2 linked regions of the Neurospora crassa OR74A genome follow. The protein of the gene in region 1 purifies or fractionates together with the protein of each later gene. This does not show direct contact. Links are inferred from orthologs where the notes say so. Each region holds a gene or a part of one and is shown on either strand. Other genes may lie near its edges.

Region 1 (6,116 bases):
AACAGGACGTTCATTCCTCAGCGTTAGCATCGGCAACACCACGACGGAATCTATGGCTTCGTCCATCGTCAGTCCTCGAACTCGAGGTCGATGGGACCGACGAATCAGCGACGTCGAATCCGGCAGCATGTACAGTCCTACAGCAGCAGCACCACCAGCTCCACCATCATCCTCATGGCTCACAGACGACGACGCCGAAGCCTCATCAGTCCGCTCAGGAGCACTCGACACCCGCCCCTTTCCATCTTTCGGCCCATCTTCGTCCATAGCGCCTGACTCATCCTACTACAGCCAGATTGCACGGTTTCAGGGTGTCCGGAACAGCGTCTCGCTTCCCCAACCATGGCGAAGACGGAAAGAATCTACAACTACGGGGTCTTATACCACGTCAACCGATGATAGCGATGACGAGGAGGATGACGAGGACGATGATGCGTCAACCATTAGTGGTAGCCGGCATGAAGGACAACCACAACGGCAACATGAACAAGATCAAGACGCCGTCGCCGCCGCCACCTCCGCCGCTGCCGTGGATCTCTTCTCCCAGCACCAGTTCATCATGCCCAAGCCTGATGAGACTACTCCCCTTATAGCAGCCGACGACGTGTTGGTTTATTCCTCAGCAGACGCAGGTCACCACCACCCATCATCTCGGACCACTTCTTCACCCCATCATCATCATCATCATCGCTCGCGCAGCCTTTTCTTACGCCGCTTGATTTTTGCTTGTTTTTTGGCTGGGATGGTGGTGGCTAGTGTTTTGCTGGTGGTGGTGGTTACGATGAGACCTCCTCCGCCTGCGTCAAGTGAGGGGACTCAGGAAGAGTGAAGAGTGAAGAGGATGACGACGACCGATTGGCAAAACGAAGCTCATGAGGGTAGACGGGCGGACGGGATAGAGGATAGAATAGAGGATAGAGAGGGGATAGATATAGGCAAGGCGTTGGAGGGATGGATGGCAAAATTTTTTTCATATTTTGGCTTAGCTTTGGGGGAAATTTACTGCGAGCGTCTTTGTTTTGTTTTGTTTTGTTTTGTTTTGGTCTGGTTTTGTGTAGGGTAGAGAGAGGGAGAGGGAGGGATGCATTCCCAGAAGAGGGAGGGAAGAAAAAGACACAGAGCAGAGAGAGAGATAGGAGAGATTGAATGAACAGCTCGGTACAGACTGATTGCCAGTGAAGACAAGCTTCGTCGCTCCCCGGTAAGCTTTTTGCAGTGTATATGATATGACTCGCATTTGGCGTTCACCTTGGCTCCCGCTTACCAAGCCCCTGGGTTGTGAGAATCTCGTAGGAGAAGAATTCACTGATATTGAGAGGGAGGTTGGTCATCGTACTATACATATTCACACGGTGCATCGAGAGACGTCCTCCAAGTACATAATAATGTTCAATGCTTCTTATTTTGAGCTGCTCGACGTCAGTGGCCATTCCACAGACAGTTGCCAGACATACCATGCCATGCCAGAGTTTAACCAACACTCAATTATTCACAACCTGACCACACTCTTCCAACACATCATTCAGCGGAACCCATTGGCCTTCGGCCCGTTGAGCGTCAAAGCATCCAGCTCTTCCCTCGTCCTCCTGTATAACTCCTGCGCCTCTCTCTCCCTCGTGCTCACAAAGCCCACCTCCTCACGCAGCGCCGCCAGCCGGTTCCGAATAGCGGCCTGCTCCGAGGACTGGAGGACCTTGAAAGCGCCCAGAGCGTTGTTCGCCTTCTCCAACGCCTCGTGAGCCTCACTGATCTTCTTCCGCAGCATTTCAGCCCGATTCTTGTAACCGCCAAGATGCAGGTTGAGCTTCTTCTCGAGCTTGTTGCCCTTCTCTGCCGAGGCGACGATTTGGTCAATGACCTCCTGCAGGTTAGGTTAGCCAGTAAGCCTTCGGAAGGCAGGAGGCAGAAAAGGGGTTAGTTGTACATACCTCAAGCGCAATTTGCATAGTGGAAATCTGCTCTTCTTCTTCATCGTCCTCATAGCATCCCAGCCCAAGCAAAAGGGAGCTGCTGTTGCTCTTTTCCCACACCGCTTGAACTTCTTCCGGCTTTGGTTTATCCTTGATTTCCATCAGAACCTGAAGCTTGGCCTCTTGCAACGCGGCGTCGTCGATTTTCTGGATCTCCAGTGCCCGGCCAGTTGGCTGAGCTCCCGGTAGAGGATACTTGGTGGCATCATGAGCTACGAGCAAGGCCGCTTCACGAGCGATGAGAACCTTGACAGGGTCCTCGGCCTGCGAGGCTTCCTTCAAGAGTGACTGATAATCGACTTGGACAGGCCGAGGCAGATCCCGCTGCATGACCTGGGTACGTCTCTTGCGCTCCAACAGCTCTCGCGCCTCCCTGATCTCCCTTTCTCGTCGATCACGTTCAGCAGCATCCTCCTCCAGCTGCTCAGCGGTCTTGGGCTCTTGCTGATCGTCCGGCAGCTCGAGCTCCCACTCGGTCTCTTTGGGCTTGGGAAGAGACGCGAGGCCTTGCTTGAGCTGGTGCCGAATAGACATCTCGCGCATCTTAACATCTCGGGGTGTGCCGCCCACCATGGACATTTCGTCACCGGCATCATTGAGAGCAAATGTATCACGGGGAGTGCGCAGTGGTGTTTGGCCGACGCGGAGGGGCGTGGCGCCAGGACCAGCTCCAGCTGCCCGCAAAGGGGTGGCTAAGGGGTTAGGGGTTGACATGACCTGCTTCCGCGGCGCAACCGACTCGAAGCCGGTAGAGCCCACCCCCTGGTGTAGAGGTGTGTTCTCTCCACCGAGCAGCGAGGATTGCGTCTCTGTTAGTGCTCGGATGTTGCGGATCTCGTTTGCGATGTGGTCTTCCTGAGCGGGGGCCATCGGTGTTCGGATTGGCGCATTGGTGTTGAGTGTCGAGTAGTTGTTGATCAGGCCACGAGTTGCGTCGTTGTCGCTTTCGCGAGCCAGCATATTTGCCCGTTCGCCAATCATGCCCATCTTCACAATTTCCTCCAACTCGCCTTCGCCGACCTGAGGTGCTGGCAGGACCAAAGCCCTCCGCTTGCTGCTCTGTTCTGCCTCGCGCATCTTCTGCAGTTGACCGGCCTTGAGGGCGGCTTGCACAGATGGGTCCTTGTCGCCCTTTCTCCTCTTGCCGTCTCTCTCGTCCTCTTCACCCTTGCGCTTGTTCCCAACCTGCTGCTTCTTGGGGTCGAAATGGGCGCGCTGGTACTCGTTGCGAGACATCTCCTCGGTGGTGTCATAGAATCCGGGAACAGGCTTCTTTTCGAATGGAATATCGGCATTGTAGTCCATCTGGCCCTGCTTCTTTGTCGTAACCTTGATGTTGATACCGGCTGTCTTCAACTCGCGACGCTTCTGGAGAGCGGCCAGTCGGCGTGACTCCTCCTGCTGTCGCTCACGGGCCTTTCGCTTGGCCTTTTTACCCTGTGTGTTGGCCAGACGCGCGCGAGCCTCGCTCAACATTTCTTTCTCATCTTCATCGAGATCGATGGTGTCGGGACGGGCGGGTTTCGTCTCCGGATCGGGGTCGACCTCGCCAGGACGTAGTTTGCGAACATCGTCGGCGCTGGGCGCGTGAGCTTCGCCTCCATCAGGGCCCGTCAGCCCAAGAGCGGACGCCTCCCTCTGCTCAGCTTCGTCGAGAAGTCTTTGGTATCTTTCCAGGCACTGGTTTGCGGTTCTTCCAACGATGGGGGCAATGGTACGCCATTGGGTCGGCATCAGCTTGGCGAGGTGCAGCAGCTTCTCATCCTCCTCCTTGCTCCATTCGATCTTCTTGATGCTGGGATCCAGCCATTCGTTCCATCTTGCCTTGCACTGCTTGGGCGTCTTGCGGGCCAGCAGCGACGAGACGCGGGCCCACTGGTTCAGGCCGTACTTGCTGACCGACGCCTTGAGGATTTCATCCTCGATGTTGGTCCACACACCTCCCTTGACGACGGGCATCTTGTCGCTCGGCCGTTATGGATACTCGTCGGGCGTTGTAGTGATGCGGGAGTCGTTCCGGTAGGTGGGAGGACACTCGGGGTTGGGGTTGTCTTGGAATTGGAATTGAAAGTGTTGAAATGTTGTTGTGTTGATGGGGAAGAAATCCAGAAATTCAAAGCGCTGGCGTCAAGGCGAACAATGGAATCACCCGCGACGCAACTGCCTTGGCGTCTTTCCCAGTATCAACTGTCAAGCGCTAGCCAACCTCAAGACCTTTTTGCGGCAGGCAACAGGTTCCCGCGCTGTTAGCATTTTTGTGTCCCATGCATGTGGTAACTAACAAGCGAGCCAAGCTCCGGGACCCCTGCCTGCCGTTAACCACTAACAGAAGGATGCCCCGCCCTTTTGTCGCGACACGCTGCTGCTGTTGGTCGAGTGGATGAAGCTTCCATCCACCATTTCTGGTTCACATGTCTTTCTTTCCTCTTACATTTCTCAACTCTTTACAGAAATCCCCAGAAAGAACATCAAATCGCTCCGAAACTGGACTCTTTAACCCAATTGCGCTCTCCAAAAGTACGCGTCTTCTCCGAGTACCAAAGCATTTACCCGTAGGATCACCATCGGGCAATTCTCAGATTATTCTTAGCATCCATAAGCTGTCGTCGATCAGAAGAGCTCCCGTCGGTACCTACTTTGGACTTGGAGTGCTCGCCGTTCGAGTCCAAACACAAGTCGACTTCAGGACAAGGACAGCTTGCGAAAGCAAAACTAATCACTTAGTTAAATATTTGTCAACGTTACTGCTAGCACGACGTCTGCCGAGCTACATATGGCCAGCGACGTAGGCTCTCCCCGAAGGGAGCAAACACCTTCCGGAGCTGCCACGACGATCCCTCAGAAGCGCACGCTCGAAGACGACCACAGTCCAGCAGTTCCATCACCCCTAAACCCAGATAACAAGGCCGCTCCAAGAGTCCAAATACAGGCACCCGAAGACACCCAGCAAGCAGCCGTTCTAAACCGCGAAAAGAGAACAAAGAAGGACTCCTTCAAGAAGAGGGAGGCCAAGGCAGCAGCAGGCGGTTCCGATAGTTCTAGAGCAACTCCAGACCCGAAGCAGCAACACAAAGAGCCCTTGATCAACGAATTGCTCCCCGCGCGCTATAAGCTCGCTCCGCCCAAACTTACTGATTTCGAGCCCGCGCGCGGTCCCGTCTTCACCAGCCATCATGAGGTTCAAGGGCCCGAGGGCGAGACCATCGAATTCTTTGATGCAACCGAACAGTATGTCTTATCTATATTTGCTCCTTCGCCATTCTCCATTCATGCGGAGCATATTCTGATTTGCCTTTTTCCTACAGTGTCTTCAACAAGCGAGCGTTCCATTACACTCACTGTATAGCCGACCCAACGTTTCCTTCCATGTTCTACTATCGCCAGACCGAGACCGAGCCGTACGCTGCCCACATGGCCTTCGAGGACTCTGCCTCCCACGTATACTTTGACCGACAGGGTCGTCATGTCACCACCGACAAGGGCTTCCGTATGTCACGAGCCAACGTGGCCGTGCGAGAGGGCAGGTGGTATTGGGAGTGCAAGGTCACTCGAGGCACCCTGCGCGAGCCAGGTTCCGAAGGTGATACCAAGGCGCATGGGCACGTTCGCGTGGGCTGGGCGCGGCGTGAGGCTTCTCTCGACGCCCCCGTCGGGTTCGATTGCTACAGTTATGGTATTCGAGACGTGGCTGGACAAAAGGTGCACATGTCACGGCCGAAAGACTTCTTCCCGCCTGGCGAGGAGATCAAAGAAGGAGATGTGATCGGGCTGGAGATCCAGCTGCCTTCGGAACATTTACACAGGAAGATTGTAACGGGGCATTATAACCCTGCGGTCGACTTGGCAGACGACGAACCATCGCTCGAGGCACCCAACATCATCCGGGACCGGATCCCCATTCGGTTCAAACAACACATTTACTTTGAGAAGATTGACTACCACACAACCAAGGAGCTGGAAGACTTGTTCAGTCCCGCGCCGGTAGCATCGGCAAGCTCAAACTCGCCGGAACCGCCGAACCCAAATCACCCATTGCCGTCGCTACGGACGCTGCCGAACTCGTACATCAAGATTTACAAAAATGGAAAGGACATGGGCACGCCTTGGACTGACCTCTTCGCCTTCCTACCACCCGCATCAAAACAA
Region 2 (4,929 bases), on another chromosome or scaffold:
CGAGCTTTGGTGGGCGCCGTTCCCCTTCGACCGCCGCTCTGGACGTACGGTTCGTGCCCAGGATGTACCTCTCGTAAAGCATTGGTACTTGGAGCACTGCCCGCCGAAGCAGCCCGTTAAGGTGCGCGTCTCGTACCAGAAGCTTCTCAAGAACTACGTCCTCAATGAGCTGCACAAGAAGCATCCAAAATCTCTTCAGAAGCAAAACTTGCTGCGGACTTTGAAACAAACAAAGTTCTTCCAGCAGACAACGATCGATTGGGTTGAAGCCGGCTTGCAAGTCTGCCGACAGGGCTTTAACATGCTCAACCTGCTTATCCACCGCAAGAACCTCACATATCTCCATTTGGACTACAACTTCAACCTGAAGCCCGTCAAGACGCTGACAACCAAGGAGCGAAAGAAGTCTAGATTCGGAAATGCCTTCCATCTTATGCGTGAAATTCTGCGCTTGACCAAGCTCATTGTCGATGCCCAGGTACAGTACCGTCTTGGCAACATTGACGCCTTCCAGCTTGCCGATGGTATTCTGTATGCCTTCAACCATGTCGGACAGTTGACCGGTATGTATCGTTACAAGTACAAGTTGATGCACCAGATCCGTTCCTGCAAGGATCTCAAGCATCTCATCTACTATCGCTTCAACGCCGGCCCGGTTGGCAAGGGTCCAGGCTGCGGTTTCTGGGCGCCGGCATGGCGTGTGTGGCTCTTCTTCATGCGCGGTATCATTCCCCTTCTTGAAAGATGGCTTGGCAACCTCCTTTCCCGTCAGTTCGAAGGTCGCCACAGCAAGGGAGTTGCCAAGACCGTTACCAAGCAGCGTGTTGAATCTCACTTCGATCTCGAGCTTCGTGCTTCCGTCATGGCTGATCTGCTGGACATGATGCCGGAAGGTATCAAGCAGAGCAAGGTCAACACGGTTCTTCAACATCTTTCTGAGGCCTGGAGATGCTGGAAGAGTAACATTCCTTGGAAGGTTCCTGGACTTCCCGCAGCTATTGAGAACATCATTCTGCGTTACGTCAAGTCCAAGGCCGATTGGTGGATTTCGGTTGCTCATTACAACCGGGAGCGTATTCGTCGGGGTGCCACCGTCGATAAGACCGTTGCTAAGAAGAACGTTGGCCGCCTAACGCGTCTGTGGCTCAAGGCCGAGCAAGAACGCCAGCACAACCACATGAAGGATGGTCCCTACGTCTCTTCTGAGGAGGCTGTTGCCATTTACACTACTACGGTGCACTGGCTTGAATCGAGAAAATTCTCTCCCATCCCCTTCCCCAGTGTGTCTTACAAGCATGACACCAAGATCCTTATCTTGGCGCTGGAGCGCCTACGTGAGGCTTACTCGACCAAGGGAAGATTGAACCAGAGTCAGCGTGAGGAGTTGGCCTTGATTGAGCAGGCATATGACAGTCCAGGCACTACCCTCGAGCGTATCAAACGCTTCCTACTCACTCAAAGAGCTTTCAAGGAAGTCGGCATCGATATGAACGACAACTACAGCACCATCAACCCGGTCTATGATATTGAACCGATCGAGAAGATTAGCGATGCTTATCTCGACCAGTACTTGTGGTATCAAGCTGACCAGCGCCATCTGTTCCCCGCTTGGATTAAGCCTTCCGATTCGGAGGTGCCACCTTTGCTTGTGTACAAGTGGGCTCAAGGCATTAACAACCTCGACAGGGTTTGGGAGACCGCGAATGGCGAGTGCAATGTCATGATCGAGACGCAGCTCTCCAAGGTCTACGAGAAGATTGAGCTGACCTTGCTCAACTCGCTTCTTCGGTTGATAATGGACCACAACCTTGCGGACTACATCACGGCCAAGAATAACGTTACCCTAACTTACAAGGACATGAACCATGTCAACAGCTATGGTATGATTCGTGGCCTGCAGTTCTCAGCCTTCGTTTTCCAGTACTATGGTCTCATTCTCGATTTGCTGTTGCTTGGCCCGCAGCGTGCCAGCGAGATTGCCGGTCCTCCCCACGCACCCAATGACTTCCTTCAGTTCAAGGACCGGGAGACTGAAACAAGACACCCGATTAGGTTGTACACCAGGTACATCGACAAGATCTGGGTGTTCTTGAGGTTCACCGCGGATGAATCTCGCGACCTGATCCAGCGATTCTTGACAGAGCAGCCTGATCCCAACTTCGAGAACGTGATTGGTTACAAGAGCAAGAAGTGCTGGCCCAGAGATTCGCGTATGCGTCTCATGAGGCACGACGTCAACCTCGGCAGAGCTGTGTTCTGGGATCTCAAGAACCGCCTCCCAAGATCCGTGACGACGATTGAATGGGAAGACACCTTCGCCAGCGTGTACAGCAGGGATAACCCGAACCTCCTGTTCTCCATGTGCGGCTTCGAAGTGCGCATCTTGCCCAAGATCCGCAACCAGAACGATGAGTTCCCTGTGAAAGACAGTGTCTGGTCACTAGTGGACAACACGACCAAGGAACGCACCGCTCACGCTTTCCTACAAGTTACCGAAGAGGACATTCAGAAATTCAATAACAGGATCCGTCAGATTCTCATGTCGTCTGGCTCGACCACATTCACCAAGATTGCTAACAAGTGGAACACGGCGCTGATTGCCCTCTTTACTTACTACCGCGAGGCTGCTGTTTCGACCGTGAACCTGCTTGACACGATTGTCAAGTGTGAAACCAAAATCCAGACTCGTGTCAAAATTGGTCTCAACTCCAAGATGCCTTCCCGTTTCCCTCCTGCCGTTTTCTACACTCCCAAGGAGCTTGGTGGCTTGGGTATGATTTCCGGATCACACATCCTTATCCCTACTAGCGACAAGCGCTGGTCTAAACAGACAGATCTCGGAGTTACTCATTACCGTGCGGGCATGTCGCACGATGAGGAAACGCTGATCCCCAACATCTTCCGCTACATCATCCCGTGGGAAGCTGAGTTTATCGACTCCCAGCGTGTGTGGACGGAATACTCGCAGAAGCGTCTCGAGGCCAACCAGCAGAACCGCAGATTGACCCTAGAGGATCTGGAGGACAGCTGGGATCGCGGTCTGCCCCGTATAAACACTCTTTTTCAAAAGGACCGTAGCACGTTAAGCTTCGACAAGGGTTTCCGTGCCCGTTCCGAGTTCAAGATCTATCAGTTGATGAAGAGCAATCCCTTCTGGTGGACAAGCCAGAGGCATGACGGTAAACTTTGGAACCTTAACGCATACCGTACCGATGTCATCCAGGCGCTTGGTGGTGTCGAAACCATCTTGGAGCATACCTTGTTCAAGGCAACTGGTTTCCCGTCTTGGGAAGGTCTCTTCTGGGAGAAGGCCAGTGGTTTCGAGGAGTCGATGAAGTTCAAGAAGTTGACAAATGCCCAGAGGAGCGGTAAGTTCAACATACCATTTCTCTAGCATGAATTCATCATCATATGCACGCACAAATACTGACTTTGAAATACGCAGGTCTCAACCAGATTCCTAATCGTCGTTTCACGCTTTGGTGGTCGCCTACCATCAACAGAGCCAATGTCTACGTCGGTTTCCAAGTGCAGTTGGATCTAACTGGTATCTTCTTGCACGGCAAGATTCCTACTCTCAAGATCTCCCTGATCCAGATCTTCCGAGCTCATCTGTGGCAGAAGATCCACGAGTCAGTGGTCATGGATCTTTGCCAGGTCTTCGATCAGGAGCTTGAGGCTCTAAGCATCGAATCGGTTCAAAAGGAAACCATTCATCCCAGAAAATCTTACAAGATGAACAGCTCCTGCGCGGATATCCAGCTCTTTGCCAGCCACAAATGGAACGTTACTCGCCCATCGCTCCTTTTCGATACCAAGGATGTCATCGAGTCTACTACGACGAACAAGTTTTGGATTGATGTTCAGCTTCGCTATGGTGACTACGACTCTCACGATATTGAGAGATACGTCAGGGCCAAGTATCTGGACTACACCACCGACAGCATGAGTCTTTACCCATCTCCTACCGGTCTCATGATTGGCATCGATCTGGCTTACAACTTGTACTCTGCCTACGGTCAATACTTCCCAGGCTTGAAGCTCTTGATCCAGCAGGCTATGGGCAAGATCATGAAGGCAAACCCTGCGCTCTACGTTCTTCGTGAGCGTATCCGCAAGGGTCTGCAGCTCTACGCCTCCGAGAGCAACCAGGAGTTCCTGAATTCGCAGAACTACTCGGAGCTGTTCAGCAACCAGACTCAGCTCTTTATCGATGATACTAACGTCTACCGTGTTACCATCCACAAGACCTTCGAAGGTAACTTGACGACCAAGCCGATCAACGGTGCCATCTTCATCTTCAACCCGCGTACCGGTCAGTTGTTCTTGAAGATTATCCACACCAGCGTTTGGGCGGGTCAGAAGCGTTTGGGACAGTTGGCCAAGTGGAAGACTGCCGAAGAAGTCGCAGCCCTTATCAGATCGCTACCCGTCGAAGAGCAGCCAAAGCAACTGATCGTCACCAGAAAGGGTCTGTTGGATCCTTTGGAAGTCAATTTGCTTGATTTCCCCAACATCTCCATCCGCGCGTCCGAGTTGCAGCTTCCCTTCCAGGCCGCCATGAAGGTCGAAAAACTGGGTGACATGATCTTGCGTGCCACCGAGCCGCAGATGGTCTTGTTCAATCTCTACGACGAGTGGCTGAAGAGCATCTCTTCCTACACTGCCTTCTCCCGTCTCATTCTCATCCTGCGTGCCCTGCACGTTAACCAGGATAAGACGAAGCTCATCTTGCGCCCCGACAAGACCGTCATCACGCAGGATCATCACATCTGGCCCTCGCTCTCCGATGAAGACTGGATCAAGGTTGAAACGCAGCTCCGCGATCTTATCCTCAACGACTACGGCAAGAAGAACAATGTCAATGTGTCCAGTTTAACTAGCAGTGAAGTCCGTGATATCATTCTTGGTATGGAGATCTCAGCCCCC

What was found. Proteins that work in one complex are often made in the same cells at the same time.
Region 2: the proteins of NCU06994 (region 1) and NCU07832 purify together in Schizosaccharomyces pombe (affinity purification with mass spectrometry; 3 studies listed by BioGRID, with this or other methods). This does not show direct contact. The link is inferred for Neurospora crassa OR74A from reciprocal best matches to the Schizosaccharomyces pombe genes cdc5 and spp42.

Annotation. Positions count from the first base shown.
Region 1 is NC_026504.1:4,814,822-4,820,937, reverse strand, and holds NCU06994 (pre-mRNA-splicing factor cef-1), read right to left. Parts: upstream 4,093-6,116; 5' UTR 3,930-4,092; coding exon 1,929-3,929; intron 1,862-1,928; coding exon 1,523-1,861; 3' UTR 1,271-1,522; downstream 1-1,270. Other genes in the region: NCU06995 (hypothetical protein), read left to right, coding at 1-610, 757-810; NCU06993 (Ash2-trithorax family protein), read left to right, coding at 4,744-5,198, 5,276-6,116. UniProt on the Schizosaccharomyces pombe protein: Involved in mRNA splicing and cell cycle control.
Region 2 is NC_026503.1:1,008,887-1,013,815, forward strand, and holds part of NCU07832 (pre-mRNA processing splicing factor 8), read left to right. Parts: coding exon 1-3,368; intron 3,369-3,445; coding exon 3,446-4,929.